Elephas maximus indicus: one gene and its partner. The protein of the gene in region 1 purifies or fractionates together with the protein of each later gene. This does not show direct contact. Links are inferred from orthologs where the notes say so. Each region holds a gene or a part of one and is shown on either strand. Other genes may lie near its edges. The genes, in order: PPP6R3 and AURKA.

Region 1 (7,517 bases):
GCGATTTCCTTCAGGAGACGCGCTGAGCACAGGTGCTTCCTCCTCTAGGAAGCCCACCCTAACCTTGGCCTCTTCGTTACCGGAGGTGCTTGGAACACTCTTATCTTGGGCCAGGTACTGCCTTGTCTTACTCGCCATGCAGACAGCCCAGAACCCATCTCAGGGTCCGGGACGGAGGAGCTGAAGCAGGTACTGGCTGATGCTTTGATGATGACGAGTCAACGCTGTGAGTCGCCATCGATTCTGACTTGTGGCGACATCATGTGTGCAGAGCGGCGGGGTTCTGAAGGGTTTCCAAGGCTGTCACCTTCTGGAAGCACACTGCCAGGCCTTACTGCCGAGGCCCCTTTGGGTGGGTTTGAACCTCCAACCTGTTGGTTAATAGTCCAGCACTTAACCGTTCGCACCACCCAGGGACTCCCTGAGTGAGTAAATCGATGTGGGTAAATCAGTGGTGGCTGGGACCTCCCCAGGCCCCCCAGGAGGGCAGGGCAGATGTCAGACGCCAACTGAGCTGTCCCTCCTGCCCCCTGCCCAGCTTCCCTTAGGTGCCCTAGGGTTCCCTGGAGCCCCTCTTGTGCTCCCTGGACCAGGCCCTCTGGCCTGGACTCCTGTGCCACCCCCTGTTACTCTTGCTCCAACCTGACCTTCCTGAAGTATGGGCAGCCCTGAACAGGTCCCTCTCCTGCTCTGAAGCTTTCTCTGGCTTCCCGTCTGAGCATAAACCCCAAATTTCCTCCCCTGTCCTCCAAGGACTCCCTGGCTGGTTCCCGACCTGATTCCTATTCTTATTCTCATCCCCAACCCCTCTCCCAGCCCCAACCCCGCTGCCATCCCCAGCCCTGTCCTCCAAAAAAGTGCATTTCCCACACTGCTCCACCCCGCCCCGGGTTATCTGTGACACACCGTCCCTAGCCCTCCCCTGCACTGAGCACACCTTCTGAATCTGTTTCCTTCTTGACTGTGTCCCTCACTAGCCTCAGTGAGCAGCAGAGTCAGTGTGAGCAACATCTGCCCTTGGTTTCTGCCTCCCTAGAGGCCCAGCACCCTCAGGGCTTGGGCACAGGCTGGTTGATGTTACCACCTGCACTTTACACATAAAAACCATAAAGTCAGAGAAGTTAGATCACCCAGCCACTTGGGTAGCACTTGGTGCCCAAATGCTTCCTAAAAAAACCAAACCAGTTGCTGTCCATTCAATTCTGACTCCTGGTGACCCCGAGTGTTGCACGGTAGAAATGCACTCCACAGGGTTTTCAAGTCTGTGACCTTTCGGAAGCAGATTGTCAGGTCTTTATTCTGAGGTGCCTCTGGGTACGTTCAAACAGCGAACCTTCCTGTCAGTAGCCCAGTGATTAACCATTTGTACCACACAAAAAACTAAACCAAACCCACTGCTGTTGAGTCGATTCTCACTCATAGAGACCCTAAAGGACACGGAGAACTGCCCATAGGGTTTCCAAGGCTGTAAATCGTTATGGAAGTGAACTGCCACATCATTCTCCTGCAGAGCTGCTGGTGGGTTCGAATTGCCAACTTTTAGGTTAACAGCTGAGCGCTTTAGCCACTGCATCACCAGGGCTCCTTTTGTACTACCCAAGCCAAGCCCGTTGCCGTTGAGTCAATTCCAACTCATAGTGACCCAGTAGGGCAGACTATAACTGTTCCACGTGGTTTCCAAGGAGAAGCTGGTGGGTTCAAACTGCTGACCTTTTGGTTGGCAGCTAAGCTTTTAACTACTACATCACCAGGGCTCCTTTGCACCATCCAAACAAACAAGAAAAACCCAAACCTGCCACCAGACTGAGTCCAGCACAACTAGATGGCGCCTGGCTACCACCACCAACAAGGATCACAATACAGGGTCCTGAACAGACCTGGGTAAAAATGTAGAATAAAATTCTAACTCACAAAGAAAGATCAGACTTACTGGAGAAACCCCAATAGTATGGCCCCCAGACACCCATTTAACTCAGTACTGAAGTCACCCCTGAGGTTCACCCTTCGGCTGAAGATTAGACAGGCCCATACAGTGAAAGGAGACTAAATGAGCACACCAACCCAGGGGCAAGGATGAGAAAGCAGGAGGGGCTTGGAAAGCTGGTAATGGGAAAGCCAAGGCCAAGAAGGGGAGTGTTGACATGTGGGGTCAGCAACCAATGTCAGAACAATATGTGTATTAATTGTTTAATGAAAAACTAACTTGGTCAGTAAACCATCATCTAAAGCACAAAAACAAAACAAAACAAAACAAAAAAAGAAACCCTTTGCGGTGGGGTCGATTTTGACTCCACCAGGTACTCCTAAATGCTCTCCAGGCCTCAGCTAACTAATCTGTAAAACGGGAACAAAGACATTGTTCTGGAGCTGTCGGCAACCAGCTCCTCCTGGAGAGTTTGCCTCCAGCCACAGGGTCTGCCGAAGGGCTGAGCTGGGGAGGTGTGCCCATGTTTGCTCCAGAGACCCGGTTCCCCGGAGCTGACCCAACAAGCCAAGTTGGGCCAGATTCGCCCTGCAGTACCAGACTCTTCAGTGAGCTGGACGAGTTCAGGCCAGCTGGGGCCTGTGTAAGGAGCGAGGGCAGGGGTGCAGACAGATACTGAGCCCAGAGGTAGGTAGGCGATCAGAACCAAAGGAGGTTGGAGGCGGAAGACGCAGCGTGGCACCCACTCGGCTGGTCCTGCCCCCGCCCCCACCTGCAGTGGCCAAGTTCTACCCCTGGAGGCAGCCTGGGGAAGTCTCAGTCACCCAGGTACCCTATTTGACCTGGAAAGACCAAGCTGGCACTACAGGAGCAGCTGCTGGCAGAGGCTGGGGGAGACCTGCCAGCCCCCTGCCTGGAGCCCCCTCTGTGGTTCCAGGCCCGGAGTCCTCTGAGTAATGCGCCTCAGGGGCTGTTGAGTTCCCCCAGGCCTGTGGCACTGTTCTAAGAGGTCTCCGTGACCCTGCCCCATTGCTCACCACTGCCACTCTTCCTGTCCTGTCCCTCTCCTGCCACCCCCAGCTTCCTCTGTACCGTGAGCACTCCAAAGCCCCACCTTGGGGTCTCTGCGCGGGTCTCAATCCCTGCCACGCCCGACCCAAGAGCCCACGGCTTGTCCCTCCTGTCCTGCGGGCTTTGGTGGAAATGTCACCTCCTCGGAAGGGCGTCCAGCACTCTCTGCCACCAGCCGGTCGGCTTCCCTGATGTTTCTCTGGCTGCGGACTGAGTGTCCGAGGCGCGAGGACGTCTGCGCCCCTGTACCCCACAGTCCTTGCACACCCGCAGCGCCCAGTACAGAGCTGCTGCACGAACGGACAGGCCAGCCTGCCTGCTGAGGTCCCCATCCCAAGCACATCCTTGGGGTGCGACCTCGCATCCGACTCCACTCGGCGGACCTTGTTTGTCCTTTTCATCTCCTGTTTCTAACTGTTGCCCTCTTGTTGATTTCCGTGCGACTCTGAAAGGCGCCTCCAGTCCACGCTGGGACAAGGCAGGTTGTTAGGAAGCGCCGACGGCGGGCGCCCGGGACTCGTGGGTGTCTCGGGCCGGTTCACCGGAAGGAAAGGGGGTCCTGTGGCCGGGAAGCCTCTCGGGGAGGAGGAGCCCCGGCGGTTCTGTGAGCCACTCGAGTGTAAATCCTTCTCGACGACAAAAGGGACACGCCACCCCATCAGTCCTGCTTTCCCCCGCGGAGGTGGGCGCCACAGCGAGAGAGGGAAAGCCAGCTTTCCACCTTGACCCGAATCCCGGCACTGCCCCTTGGCGCGGATGAATGGCCAACGGCACCTTTTTACAAAATGCAGCGTGGAGAATGCGGGCATCGATCCCGCTACCTCTCACATGCTAAGCGAGCGCTCTACCACTTGAGCTAATTCCCCAGCTCTGACCCATTTCCGTCGCCGGGAAGCACATAGCGCTCACGTCATCATTCGCGTCCCCGTGGCCGCGTCCCCGCCCCTGGACATCGGGTTCATCCATTGGCTCCCCTGCCGCCCGATGCCCGCGGCCAGGATTGGTTTGGCTCCATTCAGTTTTAAAAGGCATTGTTTCCTCGGATTGGTGGTCAGCAACGTCCGTCAGGCGGAGTCCCTGCTGTTGCTATGGCGCAGGGGGATTCCACCAGGCTTCTCCTGGTTTCTGATTTGTTTCTCAGGCTCCAGGGTTCTAGAGGTTCCGGATCCGTCAAGTCCATGGGAAAAGAATGCGCCCTTCGCACTTGACTGATGCCTTCCACAGGCCAATCGGAGTGGAGGCCGCGGAGCTGAGGACCCACCCAATAGGCCGCAGGGGGCGGGGAAGGCAGGCCAATGCGCGTTGAGCTGGGGGCGGGGCAGAGCGGCGATTGGCGGCGAGGCGGCCGGAGGGAGGGCGGGGAGCTCAAGGCCTGCTTGATACGTCCGCCATTTTGGGCGCTTCGCTGATGGTGTCGGTGAGCGCGTTTCCCGCCTGAGCGCGACTTGCGGCAGGTCGCGGGCACCTCCAGGTAACCGCGGGGGGAGGCGGCGGGCGGGCCGCGGCGCAGGGGGCGCGCGGCGGGGCTCTCGGCCGGGTCTCGGGGCGCGGGCAGGAGCGTCCGGTCCCTCTTCCCCTCCCCCCCGGAATAAGCTCGCCCCGCGGCCCGGAGGCGGCGAGTCCTCCGGCCGTCCTCGGCCGCCCTGTCAGGCCGCGCTCCCCGCCGAGGCCCCGTCGGGCCGGGCCGAGGGCGGGCGGCGAGCCCGGCGGGCAGTTCTGCTCCCGCCCGGACGGGCGCGGCCTGCGCGGCGGCGGCGGCGGCGGGCGGGCGAGGCGGCCAGCGGAGGCGCGCTCTTCTCGGGGCTCCGGCTCCAGGCGTCCCGCCGCCCGGAGCGCCGCCCGGGGTCCCGCGCGGGGCCTGGGGGTCCCCGGAGTCCCGGGCCCGGCCGCCGCTCCCTGGGAACTTGTCGGTCGGGCCGCGGGAGCGGCAGCAGCTCGGGGGCGATGCGCGAAGGCCATTGTTGGACCCCGCTCCCCGGGAGACAAGTTTTGTCGGTTCCAGGTAATTCGCCGCAGAGTCGGGAGAGCCGCGCGGGTCCCTTCGGGGTATTTAGACGCCTTTCCAGGTGATCTCAGACTCCGCTGCTGTGACTCGAACGCAGACCTGGTCGCGAACGCCTCCCGGGCGAGTGCGAGCCTGGGGGATGGTCCTCCTGTGGCTGGGAGTTCCTCCCTCTTAAAGAAGCCCCAAACCAAAAAGACCAGACCCTCTGTCCGACTCCTAGCGACCCTATAGCCCCGGTCCTTGCTAACTCGGAGGTCGTGCCTCCTAGCTGGGTCCTGCTGGCTTTGATTACAGGCAGTGGACAGAACGAGCCTTTAAAGGGTGGACCTCTGCGTCCTGACTCCTTAGCTTCATAACTTCATGGAATTTCCTCGGTTCTGGACGTTTTCTCCGTAGACGGGTCGAGCTGTGGTTTCTGTGTTGGGTTTATGGGAGGGGCACTTTGTGGTTGATTTCTCTCATCCTCGCAGCTCTTGTTAAGGTCGATATTATCCCATTTAATTAATGGGACGGGTACTTTGATTTTGTCCTCAAGGTCAGGTTGGAAATGGACAACAAGTGGGAAAGGGACTCCAGGTTTCCGCCCTTGCAATGTGCCCTCAGTAGCAAGTGTGTGATACGCGGTTAGCCGTGGTGGTTGAGCTTTCTTCACTCTGAAGTTAGACTGTCTGGATTCTAACTCCAGTGCTTGACCACTTTCTTGCTCTGTGACCTTGGGCAAGTTGCTCAACCTCTCTGTTTCCTTTGAAATATGGAAATAATAATAGTGTCTACCTCACAAGGTTGTTGGGCGTAAATGATTTAATACATATGAAGCACTTAGAACTGTGCTTAGCACATAGAATCAGCGCAGTAATTTGTGGCTATTATTAATTTAAATTTGATTTTTAAATATTTAGATACTGTTAGGAAGTCGAAGGAGCCCTGATGGCACAGTGGTTAAGTGCTGGGCTGCGAACTGAAAGGCCAGCAATTCTAATCCGCTAGCCACTCCAAGGGAGAAAAATCTGACAGTCTGCTTCCATAAAGATCACAGCCTTGGAAACCCTGTGGGGCAGTTCTGCTGTCAGACAGGGTCGCTGTGAGTTGTAATCAGTTCCATGGCAGTGATTTAAGAAGTCAGATGAGTGCTTAAGCCCTGGCTCTTGGTAACCATCTTCAGAAAGCTCTGTGTATTAGGAGCTCGTTGGAACTGGGAAAGTGAACTGGAAGTTATTGTCATTTTTTCTGGGAAGGGGTAGTTGGAGATTCAGCTACATACTTTGCCAGAGCAATTGGTGGCCTGTCTCAGGATGTTCTCTGTACCAGGTGGTTAAATACAGAAGAGCCTGTCAAGAGCTTGAGTGGGACTCTGTTCCTCCTGTGCTTCTGGATACCATTTACGAGTGTGACTGGCGAGTCAGTATTCGGCGCCAAATAAGTAACTCAGGCGTTTCTCAGTGGACCCCGTAGGTTGTTAACTGAGATTTGGATTAACACAGCTAAGATGTTGAAAGGTTACTGGGTATTGAGATATACTTCAGTGAGGATAGTTTGGGAAATAATTCTAGTCCTTGATAATGGATACTTGGAAAGCTATTTTGTCCCTGTCTGATCAGGGAGTCTAGGATGTTTTACAAGATGTCAGCCACCCAGTCACACATACCCTTACAGTCTTACTTAACGCCCTGTGTTCTTCTCCAGTGTGGTGCCCAGAGCCCTGCTTGCCTTCCCTGGGTGGTGGTTGCTTGGGATCCAGCTTGCTTGGCTGCGCTGGAGAAGTGTGTTTTCCTGTGCCTAGAAGAGATGAGCAACTTGCTGCTGTATCAGGACTCAAGAACAGGAAAAAGATTGTTTTTGGGTTTAGAAAGCTTTGACTTCTTTTATGTAAAGTATAGCAAAAAACCTTCAAACTCCCTAGTTTCATTTTGCTGATGGAGAATTGGCCATAGCTGGACAGGAAATGAATAGTAATAGAATTAAGACTTGATGTAGGGTGGGGTTTATTGGAGGGCGGGGTTTGTCGGAGGGTGGGGTTTGTTGGAGGCCACATTTTTGCCTGTTTGGCGCAGCAGTAACGTGCTTATTACAAGTAAACCATCTTTTTTATTTATAAAGCAGAATATTTGTCAGGACCAGTATTTGGCTTCTGTGATAAACCTGTATCTTCCACTTTTGTGTTTTCAGTATTTGAGAGGCAGTATTATATATTGGTCTGGAGCCTTGGTGGCACAGTGGTTAAGAGCTCAGGCTGCTAACCAAAAAGGTTGGCAGTTCAAATCCTCCAGCCGTTCCTTGGACTCCCCACTGGGCAGTTCTGCTCTGTCCTAGAGGGTCGCTATGAGTCGGAATCGACTTAACACCAGGAATTTTTTTTTCTGTGTTTGTTTTTGATATTTTGGTCTAAAATTTTACAGTGTTTTACTACACTTAAGGAGTAAATGGTAGCAATAACGAAGCTCTCCTAACCATTGGCTTGCTTATTTAAAAGTTGCATTGTCTTTATTTCATAAAAATCACAAGAATCTGGCTTATCCC
Region 2 (7,948 bases), on another chromosome or scaffold:
TTCTACAACCCACTCACCACATCATTCCTAAAATAATTTTTAAAATAAACTGGGTATACTCTCAAAAAAAAAGAAAAAAAAGAAGATGCCCCTGGACTGCCCAACCCCCTTCGATCATATTCTGTTTTGTGTATCACTGTGGACCTTTTTGTTTCCGTTTATGCAGACAAGACAGTTCTGTAGGGTATAAACCACAGCTTGTTTCACACTATAGATACTTCTCTGAAGTTTGCCTTCTTTAAAGTGATTTCTCTAAGCTGCAGATTCAGTCATTTTACTCTCTGCTAGAAACACATCCCCAGGTACAGTACGTATGTAGTCATGCCGCCCAGATTCCTGTTCTAGGAGGGATTGCTGCAGGGCACAACCTCGTCCACGGTGGTTACCTTCCCTGTGCAGTCCACATCCTAGGATGGGGTGAGGCCAGGTACACAGGCTTGGTTCTCTTGGCCTGACACAGACTCAGGGACAACATTCACTCTAGTGCCCTCCACTGGGGATGCTTTGTTGGGCCTGAGTTGCATTCGATTTATTCCTCTGCCCAATCCTGCGTGCTCCCTTTCCCTGCTTAGGTGCTGATCCCTATTAAACATCTCATACACAAACCCCACCTTGGCGTCTGCTTCCAGAGCTAGGCCTATAACACACTGCCTATCAGATACAGTTTCAACTCCAGCACAGTAACTGAGACAAGACTATGTATTCAGCCACTCTGTTCTATTGCGTTTTCTATAGCCAGGTGGGCGTTAGAATGCCATGTTGAACAGGACAAGGTCCTGACTGTTACTAACTTTAGCGAGGAGGAGGAGAGACGGCTTGTGCAGGAACAACCCAAACAATAAAGAACATTTCACACAGTGATTCCCTTATGAAGGAAAGAGCCAGGTTGGCTGTGGTGGAGTAACTGGGGAGTGTGGGGAAGATCATGGGATTACTTTAGAGGGTGAGGACAACTCTGAGGTGACACGTGAGCCAAGACCTGAAGGAAGTCAGTAATAACACATCAAAGTCCTTCAGGCCCTGAGGCTGGAAGTGGCTTAAAGTGTTCATGATCTGGACTTTGCTTACCCCATTGGTATCCAGCACTAAACCTGGCACGTTTAAAACAAAAACAAAACAAAAAAGAACCCGCTGCCGCCGAGTCGATTCTGACTCACAGCGACCCTCTAGGACAAAGCAGAACTGCCCCATAGGGTTTCCAAGGCTGTAATCTTTATGCAAACAAACTGCCACGTCTTTTTCCCTCAGAGTGGCTGGTGGGTTCGAACTGCTGACCTTTCAGTTAGCAGCTAAGTGCTTTAACTGCTGCGCCACCAGGGCTCCTTACCTGGTCCATAGTAGGCATTAAAACTCAACTATAATCATCTTAAAAACCTCTGATGCCTGAAAACACCCAAAACCTCGTCTCGGAGCTACGCATTCCCTGACAGGCTACCTAGTTTGATGAGATGCAGGAGCTGCTCTGAGGGGGCACACACGGACTGGGGCTTGATTTCGTTGATGAGGCCGTTGGCAATGCTGATGTAGCCATCATACAGCAGCTGGCTGATGATCAGCTTGTAGAGCTGCTGACGGTCCTTCAGGCCCACTTTGGTTCTGTACATCTTGGAGGCGAGGAAGACGGTTTCCCTGCCAGCTGCAAGAAGAGAACACGGGTGGGTGGGGAAGGGCAGAGGCATGAGGAAATCACCGGACGCAACACAGGTCTCTGGGGTCAGCCGTGTGGGGCTGAAATCCAGCTCTAGTGGCCGCATCATCTTTGGTCAGTGACTTCATTTCCCTGAGGCTCGGGTTCCCCAGCTGTTCAGTAAATCACTGAAGGTTAACAAGATGTGCACATAGGGCACTGAGCACAGAAGGCATTTGAGTCATGCCAGCTGAGATCGAGAGTAGCATTTCCCTTCAACTTACCCTCACCCTTTCCTTCTCTGACAAAACTGTTGTTGGGTGCCATCGAGTCAATTCCAACACAGTGACTCCATGTGACAGAGTAGATGTGTCCTATAGGGTTTCTTGGCTGTAATCTTTACAGGGGCACATTGCCAGGTCTTTCCTCCTGCAAAGCTGCTGGTGGGCTTGAACAGCCAACCTCTTGATTAGCAGCCAAGCACCTACAAGCTGCACCACCCGGGCTCATTCTGCCAAAACCACTTGCCTACAATTTTAATCCTTTATTGCTGTCCCAGGAACTTCCATTTCTTCTGTTAACAAAACACTGAGTGGTGTTGAAAATTGTGGACAGGTGCTACTTTCTCGAACGTCTAGGGACTACTGTTTCCACCAGCTGAGCTGTATGTTTACCAAAGTCAGTCATGCTTGTTCCTAAAATCTGTTTTACGGCAACCAATCTTGTTACTGAATTATATAATTACACAATAAATTAAAATATGAGGGCAAAAAGCTATTGTTTTAATGAAAACTAAAACAAGTTGAATGCTCTGGAAAGACAAAACATGAACCACTTAAAAAAAATATTGCCAACTAACATATGGGAAAAATGGGGGAGAGAAAAGAAAAAATCTGGAATGATTGTGCATTCAGATTGATTTCCAAGTGTCTAAGTGCTCCCAAAGTCTTAAAAGACCTGTAGTAGTCCTATTAAAGGAGCACTGGTGGCACAATGGTTTAGCGCTAGGCTGCTAACCAAAGGGTCGGTGGTTCCAACCTGTCAGTCACCAGAAAAGACCTGGTGATTGGATCCTGTAAAGATTACAGCCTAGGAAACTCTATGGGACAGTCCCACTCTGCCCTACAGGGTTGCTATGAGTTGGAATTGACTTGATGGCACAAAGTAACAGTGGACCTAATTAGATAAGACATTGATTATCAAAAATCACAGACCCAACGAACGTGTGGGCAGGTAATCAGAAGGCTGCAGATGCCTGGGAATAGCAATAAAAAAGAAAAGTTGTGGATTTGCAGCCTGAGAGAGAGAAACAGAGACAAGAAAAACCAGAGTGAACGGTAACATCAGGACCTCTTGGTGTTGTTATATTTACTTGGTATTGCTATATTCTGAAAAAGAAGATGTATGCAGGAAAGAGATGGAGAACCACCTGTTCTAACTACATAGCTTCCTCTGGAGAGTCACTGAGGTTACTGATCATAATAACAGCTAACACTAACTGAACGTTTACCATGTTTTATCTCATTTAATCCTCAAAAGCATCCTATAATGGAGGTTTTGTAATCGCCTTGTTTCCAGGTGAAGGAAAATAAGTTACTCAAGTTCTCACAAGTATTGCCTGGAGAAATCAGGGCTGGAACACTGGGGGTGTGTCTTTAGAGCCCGTGTTGTCCCTAAACACAACTTCGTAATGTTCCCTAAAAGCTTAACAACAATAATCCTGGCTAGTATTTATTTGATATTTGTCGTTCTTGTTAGTTGCCATTGAGTCGATTCCAACTATGGCAACTCCATGTGAGTACAATATGCAGGACACATTGTGTAAACAGCTTACATGCATCACCTCATTCACTCCACAGCTAGTCCTACTTAGAGATAAGCAACCTGAGGCCCAAACCAAAATGAAACCCATTGCTGTCAAATTGATTCTGACTCATAGCAACTAGAAGGACAGAGAACTGCCCCATAAGGTTTCCAAGGAGTGGCTGGTGGACTTGAACTGCCGACCGTCTAGTCAACAGCTGAGCTCTTCACCACTGTGCCACCAGGGCTCCAACCTGAGGCCCAGAGAGGTTAACTAACTCAGCCAGGGTCAAACAGCTTGCTAATGGCAGGGCCTGCGTGCTAACCCCACACTATACTGGTGGGTGTTAATAATAACAGGAACATTTACTGAGCATTCCTACATACTGGACACCGTCCTAAGCACTTCAAGAGTATGCAGAAGCAAATCTATGTACATCTATGCTTCTGTAGGCAATACTGAGACACAACGATGAAACGGGGCTCAGAGAGGTTAGGAAACCCACCAAAGTTAAGTGTGGCTGGTTAATCCACCCAGAGCTCAGAACTTAACTATTATTTTAACCCGTATCTTCAGTGTATCATGGGGTGCACAAAGAGCTCAACAAAAGAAAGCAGAGCGAGCTCCCGCTTCCCAACTCCCATTGTACGTTCACTAGCCGGGCTAGCAGGAGTCTACTTACTATCCCCCGTTTGCAGGTGGGGACACTGAGGCCCGGAGACACGAGGAATGCCGGAGTTGGGAGACCCGGGCGAGAACAAACTCTCCTTACTGTACGCGCCACAACCATCCCAAGGCAAAGGCGAACTAAGAACGGGGAGGGGACGGGCGCGACGTCCCCTTTTAGGAAGAGGAGGGGGTGTGCTGGCCCAGCCCGGCAACTCAGAAAACCGAGCTCAGGCTGCAGGCCTCTCCCCTCACTCTTGACCCTCCTGCCTCTCCTCAGTCCTGCCCGCGGGCCCTTGCAGGCCCCAACCGACCGCACAGCCACTCTCCCCGCATCCCGGAACCCCCTTACCCGCTGATCCGGCTCTCGCGGTCCCCGCTCTCTTTTAGAAAAATGGAGGCGCGAATGCTTCCCAATCGATCGCTCGGCGCGCACGTTCTCTGCGCAGGCGCACAAGGCGCCGCGCCGAGCGCTGCGCTATCGATCGGCCCCATTCTCTCGTCTGCCCTCCTCGCCATCTTACTTACTGGCACGTTCCAGAGGCTCGTTCACCTCCCCTGGATTTATTCCTTGTGCGGCAGCCCTGACGCAAGGGAACTGTTGTTTCCCAGAAAAATGCCCGATCCCGGACAGCACCGCGGGCACTAGGACGGCCCCAGGTCTGGCGGGCCGTTGCGCCACCACTTCCGGCACTTTACGGAGCGAGTGCGCCTGCGCGGATCTCAGCCTTGTCATGTGACTCGAGGTCCGGTCCTTTGTTAACCAATCAGAAGGCAGTCTCTCTTCAACGCAAGCCAATCAACTTTCGGGTTAGAGGGTTTAACTCGTATTTAAAAAGAGGAGGCTTTGCTTCCTAACGGCTAAGATCTTGGGCGGATTGGCGGCCACTGGTCGGAGGTGGCAGGTGACCAGTGTGTAGCGGGCAGGGGTGAGGCCTGGGACGAGGGGGGCTCGTCGAAGGCGGCCTCAGGGCGGGTGGCGGGGCTGGAGGCCGAGGGGCCCAGAGGAAGGTTCCGCGAGGGTCGCCCTCCCAGCCTGTCCACAGTGCCCACCTGGGCTCTTCAGGCGCGTTTCCTTCGGCGGGTGGGCACCGAGGCGCCTTGGAAATGCCGCGTGTTGTTTATTCCCGTAGAAGCGGATGGGGGTTGTTGAGTGGTGTTGCGGGTGCTTCTGATGGGATTCTCGTATTCAGTGAGCAGCTGGGTTAAGAAAAATACGGAGGGGTCTCTGCCGTCCTGGAGTTCACCTTCTGTCTGGGTTGAGGAGACAGACGACGAACTAACAAGATAACGTCCAACAGTGGTGGGTGTTCTGAACCAAGTGAAACAGTTACATGGTTTAACGGGGGTTACTTTAGATCTACTCGGCTGCTTAGGAAAGGTTGGCGGCCAAAGAAAGGTTGGCGGTTGGAACCCACCCAGCGGCCCTGCAGGAGAAAGGCCGGCAGTCTGGTTCTGTAAAGATTGCAGCCAAGAAAGCCCTTTGGGACAGTTCTACTCTGTCACATGGGGTTGCTATGAATTGGAATTGGCTAAATGGCACCCAACAACAGCTTTAGATAAAGGGTCCTGAGTGGCGCAAACCTTATGGAGCGGTTCTGCTCTGCTCACATGGGGTCACCATGGGTAGGAATTGACTGGAAGGCCGCTAACAACAACTTTAGGTAGAATAGCCTGGGAAGGGGCTTATCCTGGCTGGATGAGTGAATGGACAAAGAAATGAATGATAACCTTCTGCAGAGGCCTTCCCAGGCCAGCGTTTCTCAAACCTTGGACCACCTATATGAGATTACTGGGGCCCTTGTTAAAAATGTAAGAAGCCCTGGTGGCCCGGTGATTGAGAGCTCGGCTGCTAACTGAAAGCTTGGTGGTTCGAACCCACCAGCCACTCCACGGGAGAAAGATGTGGCAGTCTGCTTCCACAGAGATTACAGCCCAGGAAACCCTATGGGGCAGTTCTGCTCTGTCCTGTAAGGTCACTGGGAGTCTGAATCAACTCGATTGCAACAAGTTTGTTAAAAATGTAGACCCTTGCTGCATACCCAATGAATCAGAATCCCTTGGGAATAGGACCCAGGTGTGTCTACTTTCAGCAAGCTCTCCAGGTGATTCTGATGTTTCAGTGAGAACTAGTGGTCTATACCAGTGCATAGTATCATCTGGGGATGATGTTAACATTTACGATCTGATTTATTTAGTAGCCTGGGGTTGGCCCTGAGAGTCTCCATTTCTAACAAAAGTCAGGCAGTGCAGCTACTGCCCTTGACTTTCAATTCTGCCCCCTCCTTAATGTTCCTTTTTCCTTGACTTAAACACTTTTCAGCAGTGTACTCAGTTCCTTTCCACTCACTTTCATCTTTGTAGACATTCACAGGTCTCCTGTGCTGAGGGAGGAAAAAAATAAGTCCTGACCGTCAACCCAGAGTGCTGTTAAAGCTAACACTTTTCCTAGTTAGAATTGTAGGATCTCATGAAGGTCCTCTTGTCACTGCCTCCTGCATCTGGTTCTAGATCAGAATCACCCGAGGAGCAGTCTCCCTGGGCGAGTCCTCAGAATTTCTGAATCAGAATCTTATCCATTCTGCTTCTTCATCATTCATCTTCATGAGGAGAAAAAGAAAGAATAAATTGGAGCCAATGTCTGTAGCTTTTGTCAGAAGACTGTTGAGTAAATGTCCTGAGGCCTCTGTGATCTCCTTAGTCAGCTACTTGTGATTGTTAGGGAAACTGGAAGCCTCAGAGCATGTCTTAGAAATTAATGTTTGCATAATATAAACATATAAGTCCTGTTACTTTTTTTGTTTATTATTATTTTTTACTTAACCATTTTCTGTAAGAGCCTGGGCTTTTTAGGCCTCTTCATCATGAAGTTTGCATATTTATAAAATGAATATAAAGCTTTGGGATGTGCTTTCTGGTTGCATTATCATATTCACTGAGCAGCTGGGTAAGACAAATATGGAAACGTTTCTGCAGTCTCGATAGGTGATAGTGCCTGACTCACAGTGTGGGCTTACTGTGAACTTTTTGTTGATGTAGAGGCTGTCCCGGGGCTACAAACAGACCCATTCCTGACTGTGTCTTTAAGAATTTGCAGGTAGGTTGGAACAGGTGCATAGGGTTCTCATTTAGCTTTACTTTAGCGCAAGAAAAGACTTGGAGCCCTTTCGGTGAATTCAGAGCTGTGTGTGTGGCAAATGGAGGTGATCGTGATGAATTTGTTGCAGGTCAGGGGCTGGTTCAATTGTTTCACTAAATCTGTTGCTGTCCAGTCAGTTCCGACTCATAGTGACCCCATAGGATAGAGTAGAAGTGCCCCATAGGATTTCCAAGGAGCAGCTGGTGGATCTGAACTGCTGACCTTTTGGTCAGCAGCCTAGCTCTTAACCACTGTGCCACCAGGGCTCCTCATTTGTTTCAAAGCAAGGGCAAGTTTCCCCAACATTGAAGGATAAGTCTGAGTTATCCGTAAGGCGGACGTTGGTAACTGGGGACTTACTGTACTTTGTAAAAAAAACTCATTGAGTGATTTGATGCATACTGTGTGCCAGGTGCTGTTCTAGGTTCCGGGGGTGCAACAGTGAGCAAAGTAGGACTGAGCCCTTGCTGTCACAGAGCTTTCTTTCTAGTGGGGAGAGGTGCACAGTAAATACATATGTAACGTTCGTGTAGAATGCTGAGAGACGTGAAGAAAAGTAAGGGAGGGGTGGTCCTGGAAAGGCACACTTGAGCCGAGACCGGAATGAAATGGAGGGTGAGCCACACATCTGAGGAAAGAGCCTAATAGGTAGATGGAACAGGAAGTGCAAAGGCCCTGTGGCAGGGCACTTGTTGGAGGAAAGAAAGGAGCC

The links.
Region 2: the proteins of PPP6R3 (region 1) and AURKA purify together in Homo sapiens (affinity purification with mass spectrometry; 6 studies listed by BioGRID and IntAct, counting the BioPlex papers as one, with this or other methods). This does not show direct contact. The link is inferred for Elephas maximus indicus from reciprocal best matches to the Homo sapiens genes PPP6R3 and AURKA.

The regions. Positions count from the first base shown.
Region 1 is NC_064825.1:131,203,389-131,210,905, forward strand, and holds the start of PPP6R3 (serine/threonine-protein phosphatase 6 regulatory subunit 3), read left to right. Parts: upstream 1-4,347; 5' UTR 4,348-4,466; intron 4,467-7,517.
Region 2 is NC_064843.1:13,200,800-13,208,747, forward strand, and holds the start of AURKA (aurora kinase A), read left to right. Parts: upstream 1-4,765; 5' UTR 4,766-4,843; intron 4,844-4,906; exon of another isoform or gene 4,907-5,026; intron 5,027-5,290; exon of another isoform or gene 5,291-5,400; intron 5,401-7,170; exon of another isoform or gene 7,171-7,194; intron 7,195-7,948. Other genes in the region: CSTF1 (cleavage stimulation factor subunit 1), read right to left, coding at 1,436-1,604. UniProt on the Homo sapiens protein: Mitotic serine/threonine kinase that contributes to the regulation of cell cycle progression.